Tamandua tetradactyla: one gene and its partner. The protein of the gene in region 2 purifies or fractionates together with the protein of the main gene of each other region. This does not show direct contact. Links are inferred from orthologs where the notes say so. Each region holds a gene or a part of one and is shown on either strand. Other genes may lie near its edges.

Region 1 (7,799 bases), on a different chromosome or scaffold from region 2:
CATAGTCCATAGTTCACATTAGGGTTCACGGTTCATGTTATACAAATCTGTGGACTTTTTAAATTTTTATTCAGGTAATATATATACAACACAGCATTTCCCATCTGAGCCATTTTCAAATACAAAATTCAGTGGTGCTCACAATGGGAGACAATATTTGGAAACAACATATCAGATAAAGGTCTAGTATCCAGAATTGTTAAAGAGAGTGTTCAACTCAACAACAAAAAGACAGCCAACCCAATTACAAAATGGGCAAAACACTTGAACAGACACTTCTCAGAAGAGGAAATACAAATGGCCAAAAGGCACATGAAGAGATGCTCAACTTCCCTGGCTATTAGAGAAATGCAAATCAAAACAACAATGAGATAATATCATCTCACGCCCACCAGAATGGCCATTATCAACAAAACAGAAAATGACAAGTGCTGGAGAGGATGTGGAGAAAGAGGCACACTTATCCACTGTTGATGAGAATGTCAAATGGTGCAACCACTGTGGAAGGCAGTTTGGCAATTCCTCAAAAAGCTAAATATAGAATTGCCATATGTCCCAGCAATACCATTGCTAGGTATCTACTCAAAGGACATAAGGGCAAGGACAACAAACAGACATTTGCACACCAGTGTTTATAGCAGCATTATTTACAATTGCGAAGAGATGGAAACAGCCAAAATGTCCATTAACAGAGAGTTGACTAAACAAACTGTGACATTTACATAAGATGGAATATTATGCAGCTTTAAGACAGAATAAACTTATGAAGTATGTAACAACATGGATGGACCTTAAGGACATTATGCTGAGTGAGATTAGCCAGAAACAAAAGGACCAATAATGTATGGTCTCAATGATATCAACTGACATTAGTGAATAAACTTGGAGAATTTCACTGGTAACAGAGACCATCAGGAGATAGAAATAGAGTAAGATATTGGGTAATTGGAGCTGAAAGGATACAGATTGTGCAACAGGACTGAATGTAAAAACTCAGAAATGGACAGCTAATGGTGCTAATTGCATCTGTAATATTGGGCTCCTATCACCACCATTACTAAAACTTTTCCATCAGTCCACATGGAAATGCTGTACCAAGTAAGCATTAACTCCCCGTTCCCTGACCACTACCCTGGCCCCTGGTAACCTGTCTCCCAGTTTCTGACTCTATGAATTTGCATATTCTAATGTTTTCATATAAATGAGACCATATAATATTTATTCTTTTGTGTCTATAGCCTTATTTCTCTCACATGATGTCTGCGAGGTTCAGCCATGTTGTCACCTGTATCATACCTTCATTCCTTCCTCTGGCTGAATAATTTTCTGCTGGATAGACAGACCACTGTCGTGGTCAGGTCCATGTATCAGCTTGGCCAGGTGGTGGTACCTGTTTGTCTGGTTGGGTAAGTGCTGGCCTGCCTATTGCTATGAGGACATTTCATAGAATTAAATCATGATCATGTCGGCTACATGAATAGCTGATTCCATTTGTGATCAACCAAGGGGAGTGTCTTCTGCAATGAGTGATGCTTAATCTAATCACTGGAAGATTTTCAAGGAGGATTCAGAAGAGACAGGATCTCTTCCTGCTTCCACCAGCGAGCCTCTCCTGTGGAGTTCATCCAGACCCTCCATCAGAATCATGAGCTTCACAGCCTGCCCTGCGGATTGTGGACTCTACATTCCCATGATTACGTGAAATACTTTAATCAATTTTATATTTATGAATATTTCCTGTTGATTCTGTTTCTCTAGAGAGCCCTAACTAATACAGACCACATTTTGTTTCTTAATTCCTCTGTTAATGGACACTTGGGTTGCTTTCATCTTTTGGCAATTGTGAATAATGCCATTGTGCTGGTTTGAAATGATGTATGTACCCTAGAAAAGCCATTTTTTAATCTTAATCCCATTTTGTAAGGGCATCCATTTCTTCTAATCCCTATTTCTAATAGGATTATGTATGTTTGAACCTGTAATCAGATCATCTCCCTGGAGATGTGATTTAATCAAGAGTGGTTGTTAAACTGGGTTAGGTGGAGACGTGTCTCCACCCATTTGGGTGGGTCTTGATTAGTTTATGGAATCCTATAAAAGAGGAAACATTTTGGAGCAGACGATTACGCAGCCACGAGAAGCAGAGAGTTCACCAGCCAGTGACCTTTGGAGATGAAAAAAGAAAACGTCTCCTGGGGAGCTTTATGAAACAGGAAGCCAGGAGAGAAAGCTAGCAGATGACATCGTATTTGCCATGTGCCCTTTCAGCCAAGAGAGAAACCCTGACGGTGTTTGCCACGTGCTTTCTCATTTGAGAGAGAAACCCTGAATTTCATCGGCCTTCTTGAACCAAGGTATTTCCCTCTGGATGCCTGTGATTGGACATTTCTATAGACTTGTTTTAATTGGGACATTTTCTCGGCCTTAGAACTGTAAACTAGCAACTCATTAAATTCCCCTTTTAAAAAGTCATCCTGTTTCTGGTATATTGCATTCCAGCAACTAGCAAACTAGTAACAACCATGATCATTGGTTGTAATGACTTTCGTTTTAATCACAAAGGCATCATCTGGCTATTATAAAAGTTCAGATAGACAAAATAAAAACAAAGTGGGATGGAAAAAAAAAGTTTTTTCTCTTGACCTGTTCTACCCTCAAAGTAAGCAATGTTCTATCTTGGTGCATATTCTTCCAGAGCTGCTTACATTCTTATCCAGACATACCCATGTACACACACGTCCACAGACACATACCCCTTCATGCCAAACATATTACTCTGCAATTTCCATTGTTAGCATAGCATAGATCTTCGACTTTTCCTCTTAGTACATAGAGATCTAACTGGTTCTTATGAGGAGTTGCTTAATAATCCATCGTTAGTGTACACACCCCACCCCACCCCCAGTTTATTCCTCCAAATAGTGGATTGTCCCATTTTAGACATTAGAGAATGATGATCAGGAAAGAAAAGGCAAGACATAAAGCAAAGAATGTTTCATTGTTCAAGAATCTCCTGGCTTTGTTTGACTGTACCCCTACCCTGAAATGAGCTCAGACGTAGCAAAATAATCCCAAATCTCAAACTAGGTATAATTTTTATACTATTACATAAAGCTTTCATTTTATTCAAGTAGGACATCAGGGTCAGCTCAGATTTGAATTTCAGCTGCCCTATTACCATTCGAGAGATCTGAAACAATTTCTTAAATTCTCTATGCCTCAGTTTTCTCATCCATAAAATGGTAGCAATAATGGTTCTTTACCTATCTCATAGGGTTGTGGGAGGAAGTGCAATTCATTATACTTAAGTGCACATCATTTGGCATTCATGTTGTCATTGCATGGACATTTCTTAAGAAAATACTTATTAAACTAACAATTTTCCTTGGGCATTTGGAGCCAATCATTTGTTCTTTCCCAAAGTTTTGTATGAGATTTAAAAAAAAAAAAAAGCAAAGCCTCATAGAACCTAGCTATTTCTCCTGGAATACATATTAATTTATTAAATCCTAAGTTTCCTTGTGTTTTAAAGAGCTGTTAAAAAAAAAAAAAAGCCTCAGCGGCTTTTTTTGAAAATTCCTCTGCGCTGGGTACCCAAAAGATAAAACCCCCCAACCCAAACAAAACCCGAGCAGTCCAGCATCACAGCAGGCAACCGTCCCTAACCCCCAGCTAAGATCCACAGCCTCGGTGGGCTCGGGTGGGCAAGCCTGGGAACACGGAAGGCAGGGGCTGAAATACCCCGAGTCTCACACATGCACTCTTAACACGTAGTAGTTTCCTGACCCGAGTGGGTGGGGGTGTGCAGACCCGTTGAGGGGGGTCCTGGCTCAGCCTCACCCTTCAGGTGGGAATGACCAAGTGGGCTTCCCATTCCCACCGCCCACAGGGTGGTCCCGAGGCTGCGGGAGGGGTGGGGTGACCGTGTGGAGTGAGGTACGCCCCGCGCCCACCCTGAAGAGACAGACGGCCACTCAGAACGACAGCCCCAGGCCCCGGGAGGGTTTTTTCTTGCTGGAGGGAGGCCCAGAGGACGAAGGCAGAAGGTAGGGAAGACAGGGGAGACCTCTATGGAGACATCTGACGAGTGAACAGGGGCTGCACTCTAAGGAGTTTGAAGTGCGACTTGGGAAAGGCTTGTAGGCTAAAAAAAGCAGGAAGTGCTCAGGCGGGGAGGAGCGAGATGTGGCTAAGAGGGCGAGCGGGTCGGATCCACGGGGTTCTTGGGTTTTACTCAGAGAACCAGGCAAGTCTCCTCCATCCCAGGGATAACCTGAGGACCTCCCGCTCCCTTCAATTCCCTCACAGGTACTCCAGCGCCACCGCCCGACACCCCAAAATGCGTGGGGACCCCACCCCTAGGTGACGTCATGCGCTCCAGGCGGCACACGCACAGAAGCCTTCTCCCGGACTCCGCCAAGGGCGGGCTACGCCTCCGCCCGGTCCCGCCCCTCGATGTAGAAACCACTGTTCATCTCGCGTTGCCAGCGGCAACGTAGGCGGCTGGTTGCTAAGATACCTGGTATTGCGGTTCCCCCCGCCCCTTGCTAGGCTCCGGCCAACCCAAGCTCGTCCATTCAACCAATGGCAAATGGGCAGTGGGCGGGACTTGATTTACTCGGACCAAAGAAACGCGGGCTACATCCGGCGTAGCGCAGCCAATGAGCGCGGGGCGGCCCCTGTAAATTGGCCCGAGCGCCCCCTCGCTCGCCGTTCCTCCGCCCCCGGCCCCGCCCCACCACAGCACTGTGCTGGTTGCGGTCTGACCCGAACGGAACGGAGCCAAGATGGCGGCGGCCGACGGCGATGACTCGCTCTACCCCATCGCGGTGCTCATAGATGAGCTCCGCAATGAAGATGTGCAAGTAAGAAGGCTGTAGGGGCTCGGGGAAGACGGCAAGGGAGACATGGAGGCCCTTGGAGGCCCTCGCGGAGGGGATCGCCTTTCGCCTGGAGTGGCGGCCGAGTTGGCGGCCAATCAGCGTCCAGCTCTCATCCCTCTGGGTCCCCGGACCCCATGAGACGGCGCTACGGATTGGGAGTCGGCGCAGCGGGGGGGTGGGAGCATGGGCGCGCCTGGAGGGTCCTGGGCCTGCCGAACGCGCGCGGTAGCCGGGGGTCTGGGAGGCCGGGGTGGGGGCACGGGATGAGGGTGGGTAGGGCCCCGTGATTGGCGGAGGTCCCGGAGTGGCCCCTTGACTGGGCGGGGAGCGGGCGCGGCCGTGTTGGCCAGGACTTGGGTGTGATTTCTTCTTCTTGGGTTTCCGCGGGGCCGCGGCGTGGGCCCCCAGAATGGGCTGCCTTCGCCATTCCTGCCCTCCTCTCCCATTTTGATGTACACCCTCAAAGAGGAGGAGGGCGCACCGGGGGGAAGCCAGCACTGTAGCAACCCGCCCCCTTTCCCCTCCACCCTATCCCCCCACTTTCCTCAGCCGGCTCACGATTTTCTCCTGAGTGGGTTGTTGGGGGAGTGTTATATATAGGGGGGCTTTGAGCCGGCTTAGGGCTTCCTGATAGACCTGGGGGGCCGGTCACAGCTCCACCGCCCACACGCTGCGTGACTTTGGGCGAGTTACTTCACCGCTCTGAGCCTCTTTTCCAGGCAGTGTGGGGTGATATAGTCCTGGCCTCACTGGGTGATTGTGAGGACTGATTGCGTTAAAAATATTAGTAAAACAGACGGCTTCTGGCCGATTGTAAGGGCCCAGCAAATATTAGCCGTAATTATTGTGAACAGTGCGTGAAGCCTCCCATCCTCCATCTCGTCCTCAGATTCCCACTTATAAAATCGAGGGGGATGCACTGGGAAATGTTCCAAGGCCGGGCAGGGCTCGGAGGTTTTGGGTGCCTCGCTCTCATTCTGGAGTCAGACAGGCTCCCCTTTGTCGAGTGAAAAATGGCACTTGACGGTGTTAAACAGGCAAGAATGACTATCCAGTGGCTGTTACAGCAAAGGGAGAGAGTTAAATTCAACTCTGCGGAAAAAAGGAAAGCCGGGTTTTTAAGGACTGGAGGTGGGTTGGAGGAAAAGCCTAGGAAGATAGCAAGGGGTTTTATCACTGGGATGGGGGAAGGGATTTGCTGAGGTTGCAGTTAGGCCTGGTTGGTTCCTTCAATGTGAGCAGGGATTTACTGGTTGCCTTCTGGACCACCTGGTTCGGAATGTTTTCTTTTGCTGTAAGGGCCAGGAGAAAGAAGGAGGGAGCTAAGGAACCTCCCAATTAGGAGCTTCTCAGGTGCCTGGGTAGCCAGGTGAGGGGAGAGGAAGCTCGGGGGTGAAGTTGCTGTTTACAATTGTTGGGGCCTAAAGTTGTCCTTTTTCCATTTGTCTTGTCGGCGGTCCGGTGCTCCCCACCCCTCACCCCCTTGCAGTTGGAGTTGTTTTTGTGTGCAGTCCCAGAGCTGCAAGATTAGTCAGGACCCAGGAGGGAGTGGGGAGGCATGCAAGGAGTAAGCTGACTGCTTGGTCAGTTTGTACTCCTCTCTCTTCAACTTCTTGCTGATTGATATGGACAAGTTAGGTGAGTCTTGGTTTCTTCTGACAAATGGGGATAAATGTCTTGTCGGCCAGGCAGTTGTGTGAATTCACGTGTTCAGTAAACATCTGCTGAGCCTCAGGTATGGTGCTGGGGCAATAGCAGTGACACTGGTTGCTCTTCAGGAGACAGGTGTGAAGCATGTCGACAGCTAAATATAGTCACACATATGAGACATGGTGGGCAGGAAACAAACACGATGTGATAGTGGGCCTGCAAATATCTGGAGCCTCAGCTGTGCACTGTCTTTGGCACAGGTGTTTAGCAGAGGATGAGAAGGACATTTCCTGGCTTTGTGGTGCTTATCAGACTAGGGCTGGGAGATAAACAGTAAGCAAAATAAGTAAATTGAATAATATGTGAAACAGGGATAAATACTATGAGGAAAAATAAGAGAAATGTGGAGTACAATTTTAAAAAGAGTGGTTAGGGGAGCCCGTGCTGAGAAGGTAATATTTGAACAAAGATACCAGATTTGCTGGTACAAATTGCAAGAAATGTAATGGCTTAAAACAACAGAAATTTGTTATCTGACAGTATTGTAGGTCCAAAGTTCTGACATGGTGACTTGACTAGGTAAAATCAAGGTGTCAGCAGGGGTATCTTCATTTCTGGACACTCTAGAAGTGAACCATTTCCTTGCCTTTTCCATCTTCTAGAGGCTTTCCCCATCTAGTACTTTCCTCCATCTTCAGGGCCAGTGAGGGTCCTTCTTCCTGATTTTTCTTTCATAGTCTCCTTTCCCTCTCTCACAGTCCGGAGAGATTCTCTGAGTTTCAAGGATCGATGTTATTATATTGAGTCTGCCCAGGTGTTCTCTAGGTCCTTACCCAGATCACATCTGCAGGCTCCCTTTTGCTTCATGAAGCTGCATAATACTTGGTGATTCCAGGGATTGGGTAGTGGACATCCTGGTGGGGCTTTATTCTGCCCCCCACAGTCACTGCATTGGAAGGGGGAGATTGAGGGACAAAGTGGTAAAGAGGGGATGGTGAGTGTGCTTTTTTTTTTTTAACTTCATCAGTTAATTTAGCTTTTTTTGTTTGTTTGTTTAATCCTTGCAGTTTTAAATGTTACTGCATTGAGGTCAGTGAAGCTGAACTTGTTCCACAGGAATTTATATTTATGGAGTACTGGGTATTGGGCTGCCTGATGAGGCTACAGCTGTGAACAGACCACACGTGGTGGGCAGCGTCCACTTCCTTGGGAAGGCAGAGGAACACACAGGCACACAGGATATCAGAGGGTCTGTCTCCTCTTCAC
Region 2 (7,313 bases):
GGGGAGATGCCTTCTTCATTTGAAGGGGAGAAGGAAAATGGCATAGCCCAGTTGGCAGGTGAGAAGACAGGGCAGGTCAGGCCCTCAGCACAGAGGAGTCCCAGCCTTTGCCAGCTTGGCTCTTGCTCAGTCAGTTCTGCTCCCCACTGCCTCTGAACTCCAAGTGACCCAGATGCAGACACTGTCCACACCTCTGGGCCACACTGCTCGCCACCATGTGCCAGCCAGGCCACACCCAGACCGAGCCCTGGCACAGCTTCATTCCCCAGGAAGACGGCTCTGCTTCGCCTGTCTTCCTGCCAGCATTCTTTACCGCCTGTAACAATATCATCCATCCTGCAGACCTGATCTCACGCTGCAATTCTGACGTGCCTTCTCCCTACCTGAGCAGTCAGGACACCTGACTGCTCAGCCCCTTAGTGGGACTTACTCCGCGGAGCTTTGAGTTACAGTCACCTGGCGCCTCTGAGGGTCTGCACTCTGGGGGCAGGAGCCACAGGCTATTTATCCTCACACCCCTGTGACTCCACATTCATGGTCTCAATAACATGTGGTGGGTTCAGTTAAACTGATAGACCATTACCAAAGCTGTCAAGACGTTCTGTCTCGTAACTCCTACAAAGAATTTAACCTAAAGAAATGCTCCCACACAATCAAAAATACACAGACAAGGTCTGCTCTCAAACCTACGAGGACCCACGGGCTCAGTGTCTGGGCCTCAATCTCTCTAATAGATCTACCCCACAGGATGCTGTGGGGCCATTAAAGACAACCCCTGGGAAGCTCACACAGAAGCGTAGGGAAAACAAGAGATTCGCACCACGGTAAAAACACCTGTGTGCGTAGTGAAATCATGATCGAGCTTCTATTCTTCTTTTAGGTCTTTAATGTTGTAATGCGTTTTCAACTGGAAAAGGCGGGGGTAAAACGCTTTACTGTTTGCACCTGGGTGGGGAGATACACGCGAATGCAGACCCAGCCTCTCCAGGTGAGGGGACACACGAGGTATCCCAGCCACGAGAGAAGAGCCTCACCTGCCACACTTGCCACTGGTCCCTGTGCTCAGGGTAGCTCCTGCAGAGCAGATGCTCACCAAACGACTACCAGGTTAACTAAAGCTCCCACAGGAGAGCAGCTGGCAGCAGGCTAGGGGTGCACTGACCCTCATGCAGCAGCTTCTTCTGTACCCCTTCCCTGAAGGTGGGGAGAACACAACGGCGGAGGTCCTCCTCTCACCCCACACGTCACAGCTGATGAAGCATCTGCACACAGCAGTCTTGTTAACTCCTAAACCCTATTACTTTTCACCCCAACTTTACAGAGAAGGCCAACAAGGCTCACTGACCTGTCCAATGTCAGAAACTTGCTCTTACAATGTGACTGTGTCATTCTAGATCTCCCTGTGTGCTGCCCCCACCCCACCTCTCTCCTAGGCCATCTCGCCCTGGGCCACCTTAGTATTTCCCTGATTCTTGTCAAGGAATTTAGAAGTGAAGGTGGAATAAAGGCACCTGTACGAGAGGTGCTTTGGAGAATGAATTCTCAGATGAACAAACTGCCCTGTTAAGACATCTAGTCTCATCCGTCCTCTCTCAGGACCCTGACGGTGCTAAGCCTGGGAGGTGTCCACTAAACGCTGCTGGACTCACGAGGAACAGGGTACGTGCTCTGAGGAGCCCAGGGCCTACTTTACCTTCAATCGGTACCACAGATGGTTCTTTAATGGAAGGAGAAATAGCTCGTTTTTCTGCCACTGCAGCCTCAGCCAGGCGCCCCAGGGCACTCAGAGGTGGTGTGGAGGAGAGTTTGGGGCGTTTGGTGAGGCCAGTCAGGCCTGAGGAACCCGATAAAGCAGCTGCAGCATCCCGCTTGCGCTCTGAAGGCAGGCCGGAAGGGGCTGGCTTCAGGAGGGTAGATGCTGTTTTCGATTCATTGGCCTGACCCTTTGAGCCCAGAGCAATGAAATCTCCTGGAGGAGGGTGTCCTGCACAGAAGGGAAAGAGAATACATCCAATCTCCTGTTATTTCAGAGAGAGTTAAACAATGATGAGAGAAGGCACAAAACAAGCCCGAGGCTACTTAGCAAGTCAACAGCTAAACTGAGACTGGTATAATGTAGTATCAAGGATGACCAGCAGTTATGCAAAGCTTACCACTTACAAGTATTAGTTTATTTAATCCTTATGAGTTTCCAAACAGGGTAAAGGACAAGGAGCCCCAGAGAGGCTGAACATGCCCAGGGGTGCAGAGGGTGGAAAGACAAAACCGGAATGCAACTCCAGAGCCTGAGTTTTTAACCACCTTCCTGACGCTGCCCTCAACTACATTATTCTCCGATTCCTGCCTAGAGCCTTGGATGCACCACCTGAAACAAGGTGACAGTCTCCCAGGGGAGGCCACAGCGTCCAAAATCCACCAAGGACTCCAGAAGCTCTTAGGACCGAGGTTTCTTTCTAGACCTCATTGCTAGAAACATACTTTACTGCTAAATAAGCTCCAACTTAGGCCAAAGGGCAAAGCTGAGAAGTCCCCAAAGAGCCCGTTGCTGCTCTCACTCGCCTGAAGGTTTGGCCGCCGCGCTGGGCCTCCGGACGGCGGCAGGCTTGGCACGGTTCATTCTGTCCCCTTCCCCTCGCTGCTGCTGTGTCACCTGAAAGACAGCGCGACATCATTCATTCATTCCTTCCCCTGCCGTGCAGGGACTGAGGACCTAGGGGACGAACGGGGCCCGAAGTCTGCCCGGCGGGGCGTTTCTCAAAGGGGCTGCCTGAGACACCGGCACCCACGCCGCCTGCAAGGGGGCTCGATCGCGCCGGGAGCCGCGAGGCACGGGCCGGGGCGGCTGCCGAGGGCGCGTGGGCCGGCCGAGGCGCCCCGAAGCCTAAGGGAAGACGGGCCGGGCAAGGAGCAAAGAGCCAGCTCCGCCCGGCGGCAAGGGCGAGGCCAGGGCCCCTGCCCACTCACCTCCAGCCCATCGCCTAGGCCACCCGAGCGCCTTCCCGGCCGCTCCGGCCGCCCCGGAACCGGAAACGCTTGCTCCCGCTCTCCGCGCTCCCACTTCCGGAATTGTGGGAAGCAAAACAGCGCGGCGGGAGGCAGAGGAGAGGCGGGCGGGCGGCGCCCTCGCCGTGCCTGCAGCGCCCTCTGGCGGCGGGGCAGCCGCTCAGGACACTGCAGCTTCCGCGAGCGGCCAGAGCCGGCGAGTGCCCGCCCCGCCGAGTGCCCGCCCTTGCGCGTGCCCGCCCTTGCGGGTGCCCGCTCCGCCGAGTGCCCGCTCCGCCGCGCAGCCCGCGGGGAGTACGACTGGTCGGCTGTACAGACGGGCCCCGCCGGGCCTCGGGGCTCGGACGCCTCAGGGACGGGCGGCGGGCCTGGAGTGCCCCGCGGTGGCGGCGAGGGGGAGGGAGCGCAGGAGCCCGGCGAACCCCGGGCTCAGCCTGGGACCACCACCCCCGAGCCCCAGACCTGGGCCCTGCAGGAGCCGCGGCGAGAAGGGGCGCCGGGAAGGGGCGCGGGGTCCGGCGGGGAAGGGGCGCGGGGTCCGGCCGGGACGGCGGGGAAGGGGCGCGGGGACGACGGGGAAGGGGCGCGGGGTCCGGTGGGGACGGCCGGGAAGGGGCGCGGGGACGGCGGGGAAGGGGCGCGGGGACGGCGGGGAAGGGGCGCGGGGACGGCCGGGAAGGGGCGCGGGGTCTGGTAACGTTGAAAGTTCCCATAGCTTGTAACTCAGCAGGTTCACTTTGAGAGCAGTGTGGAGCAGTGCTACCCGATGTGCGCGGGAGGACCTCTCCTGCAGCCCTGAGCTGGGGCCTGCTTGAACCGCTGGTTGGAGCGGATGGAGCCCAGCATTTCCTGGCTCTGCATCCAGTGACATCATGCTGCTGGCTTGAAATCAGTCAATGCAGGAATATCTGCACCACAGAAATTAGTAAACACCACAAACCGGGACGGCGGGGAAGGGGCGCGGGGTCCGGTGGGGACGGCAGGGAAGGGGCGCGGGGTCCGGCGGGGAAGGGGCGCGGGGGCGACGGGGAAGGGGCGCGGGGTCCGGTGGGGACGGCCGGGAAGGGGCGCGGGGTCCGGTGGGGACGGCCGGGAAGGGGCGCGGGGTCCGGCGGGGAAGGGGCGCGGGGGCGACGGGGAAGGGGCGCGGGGTCCGGTGGGGACGGCAGGGAAGGGGTGCGGGGACCGGTGGAAGGGGTGCGGGGAAGGGGCGCGGGGTCCGGCGGAAGGGGGCGGGGAAGGGGCGCGGGGTCCGGTGTGGACAGGCCGGGGAAGGGGCGCGGGGTCCGGCGGGGACGGCAGGGAAGGGGCCCGGGGACCGGCGGGGAAGGGGCGCGGGGTCCGGCGGAAGGGGGCGGGGAAGGGGCGCGGGGTCCGGTGTGGACAGGCCGGGGAAGGGGGCGGGGACCGGCGGGGAAGGGGCGCGGGGTCCGGCGGGGACGGCAGGGAAGGGGCCCGGGGACCGGCGGGGAAGGGGCGCGGGGTCCGGCGGAAGGGGGCGGGGAAGGGGCGCGGGGTCCGGCCGGGACGGCGGGGAAGGGGCGCGGGGTCCGGCCGGGACGGCGGGGAAGGGGCGCGGGGTCCGGCGGAAGGGGGCGGGGAAGGGGCGCGGGGTCCGGTGTGGACAGGCCGGGGAAGGGGGCGGGGACCAGCGGAAGGGGCGCGGGGTCCGGCGGGGACGGCAGGGAAGGGGCCCGGGGACCAGCGGAAGGGGCGCGGGGTCCGGCCGGGACGGCGGGGAAGGGGCCCGGGGACCAGCGGAAGGGGCGCGGGGTCCGGCCGGGACGGCGGGGAAGGGGCGCGGGGTCCGGTGGGGACGGCGGGGAAGGGGCGCGGGGTCCAGCGGGGACGGCGGGGAAGGGGGCGGAGACAGCGGGGAAGGGGTACCCTCAGCCCCAGGCACCCACCTGCAGACGGGGTCCGGGAATGAGGCCTTCGAGAGGGTCTTGCCACTGGGCTCCTTTGAGGGAAGAAGACTCAGAAACTCCGAGTCTTTTGGGAGGCAGCAGGCAGAGACGTGTTGGTGGCAGGCCCCTCCCGCGTCCAGAGAGGAACAGAGGCAGGGTACCTCCATCCCGGGGTGGGGGTTGTGCCCACGAGGGGCCCCCTCCCCTCCCATCTGCCCCCCCCCCAGGGTCCGGGGCCCTCTGGCTGTAGCCCCCCAACTCCCCAGGATCAAGCCAGCAGGAGCCCATCCCAGCTCAGAGGCCTGTGGGAGCCCGAGAGAGGGTCCCTGGGCAGTGGGGGTGGCCTCTTCTTGAGGGAAGCTGGGGCGGGACGAGGCGGACTTGACCGCCCTGCGCCCTCCGGTACGGGGAAGCCACACGCCCAGCCCCAGGCCTTCCACGGAGCCTTCCTTGAACCCCCACGGCCACCCGCCTGCCCCGGCCCTCCCAGGGCTCCAGGCCACCCCCTGCCCACCCCTGGGAGACTATGGGGGTCCCTTTGTCCCAGCTGCCCGGAGGCTGGGGCAGGGAAGGGATTCACCTGGTGGCCAAGCCCAGCAGTGGCTGTGTGGTCGCGGACCCCAGAGCCCCGGCTCTGCCCCCTGGAGCTCGGCCGCTTAGGCCTTCCCACCCTGGCTGCAGGGCCGAGGCCAGGCAGCCCGAGCCCCACCCCCCACATCTGGGGCCAGGAGACTGTGGTAGGGGCTGCGGGCGGTGCGGGGGCTAGGACACTGCTGTACCCCTGCCCGGCTGCCACGTGGGCCTCAGCTCCAGGGGTGGCACAGGCGCCCTGGGGCTTCCTGGGGCCGGGGCAACATGGACAGGGCAAGGCGATGGAGGGAGGACAGGTGACTCCTCAGTCTGCCAGATGTTGGCATCGCGTCGGAGGGTCCAGCAGGCGAAGCCCCCGACACAGGCGTCCCTCCGTGTCCCCTACCTCCTGGTGTGCGCCCTGGAGGCAGGGCTGCGCTCAAGGTGGGGGCTCAGAGGGGATTGCTGATTGGACACCCAGGCGAGGGCAGGTGAGCCCCCCAGGCCTGCGGGTGGGAGGGGTGGCGGGTGGCTCGGGGATGCGTTAGGAGGACACAAGAACCATCCCCTCTGCACTGAGCCCTGAACCCCCCACATGGGGGTTGCCTGAGACCCCCCACAAAACCCGCAGCCGACAGGCACTGGGGGGGCTGCTTCTGTGATGATGCCTCAGACCCCGGGGTGCACGGGGGCTCCCCAGCTGGACGGGCAACATCACAGGCGGACAGTCGGCCCTGGCTGCTGGTGCACGAGTTCCAGCCCAGCCTCCCTCCAGGGGTGGGGAAGGGGTGCAGCCTGACCCCTTGCCCCTGTGACCCCTGACCCCAGCACCTCGGGCCTCTAGCCATTCCCAGACCAGGAGGATTCTGGGTCCCCTTCACTGCCGGGTGCCCCGAGGCATCACTGCACTGGGGACAGGGCAGGAGGGCGCCCTGGCCGCCCCAGGGCCTCGGTGCATGTGGGCGCTGGGTTTGGAAGCCAGAAGAGGCGACCATGATGAGTCCACCCCACTCTCTCCTGCTCCTGTTTGCTGAAGCTCCGGATGCCATCCGCCAGCCACAGTCAGCTTCAGCAGTGGGGATTTATTAGCTTACAATTGACAGGTCTAAGGCCGTGAAATTGTCCAGTGCAAGGGGTCAGCAGGATGATACCTGGCCTCTGCAGGCTGCCGGCATCGGGGCAGCAGTTGGTCCTTCTCTCCCGGGCCTCCGTCTAAGCTTCCACAGGCCCTCTCAGCTCCTTGGGGCTTTTCTCTGGGCTCTCTGGGCTCTTCTGTCTTTTTTCCTCATATAGAACTCTAGTAAAGGGCTAAGGTCCACCTTGAATGGATGGGGTCCCAGCTCCAGGGACACCACCTAAGCAGAGGGACCACCCGCAGCAGGCCTGTGCCGCAGGAGTGGGTTAAAAGGGCCTAGTGAAAGCGTTGCCCTCCCCCTGTGTGGGACATGACGTCCAGAGGTGAAAGTCCCTGGCGATGTGGGAGAGGACTCCCAGGGATGAATCCAGACCTGGCACTATGGGATCAACAATTCCATCCTCACCAAAAGGGGGGAAAGAAGTTTAATGAAGTATCAGTGGCTGAGGGAGTTCAGAGTCCAGAGACTACTCAAGGTCATTCTTAGGCAAGCTTCAGGCAGACCTTGCTACCTGTCATAACCTGCCAACCCCAACCAGGACCATTCCTGCCAATCCTAAAGAACACCTAGGGCGATATATAAGATGCCACATGGGTCCAGGCACTAGAGTAACTTTCCAGAAACCTACAACCTCTAGATGGGTCCCTGGTCCAGATAAGTCCTGACACCTAGAGGGCCCAGCCTCTCCAGAACATCA

Evidence for each region. The genes of interacting proteins can lie anywhere in the genome.
Region 1: the proteins of INTS1 (region 2) and PPP2R1A purify together in Homo sapiens (affinity purification with mass spectrometry; 4 studies listed by BioGRID and IntAct, with this or other methods). This does not show direct contact. The link is inferred for Tamandua tetradactyla from reciprocal best matches to the Homo sapiens genes INTS1 and PPP2R1A.

Annotation. Positions count from the first base shown.
Region 1 is NC_135342.1:8,986,227-8,994,025, forward strand, and holds the start of PPP2R1A (serine/threonine-protein phosphatase 2A 65 kDa regulatory subunit A alpha isoform), read left to right. Parts: upstream 1-4,703; 5' UTR 4,704-4,787; coding exon 4,788-4,865; intron 4,866-7,799. UniProt on the Homo sapiens protein: The PR65 subunit of protein phosphatase 2A serves as a scaffolding molecule to coordinate the assembly of the catalytic subunit and a variable regulatory B subunit.
Region 2 is NC_135349.1:1,062,499-1,069,811, forward strand, and holds the start of INTS1 (integrator complex subunit 1), read right to left. Parts: upstream 3,079-7,313; 5' UTR 2,965-3,078; intron 2,651-2,964; 5' UTR 2,618-2,650; coding exon 2,560-2,617; intron 1,985-2,559; coding exon 1,694-1,984; intron 1-1,693. Other genes in the region: uncharacterized protein LOC143667835, read left to right, coding at 3,876-3,884, 4,269-4,886, 4,976-5,971. UniProt on the Homo sapiens protein: Component of the integrator complex, a multiprotein complex that terminates RNA polymerase II (Pol II) transcription in the promoter-proximal region of genes.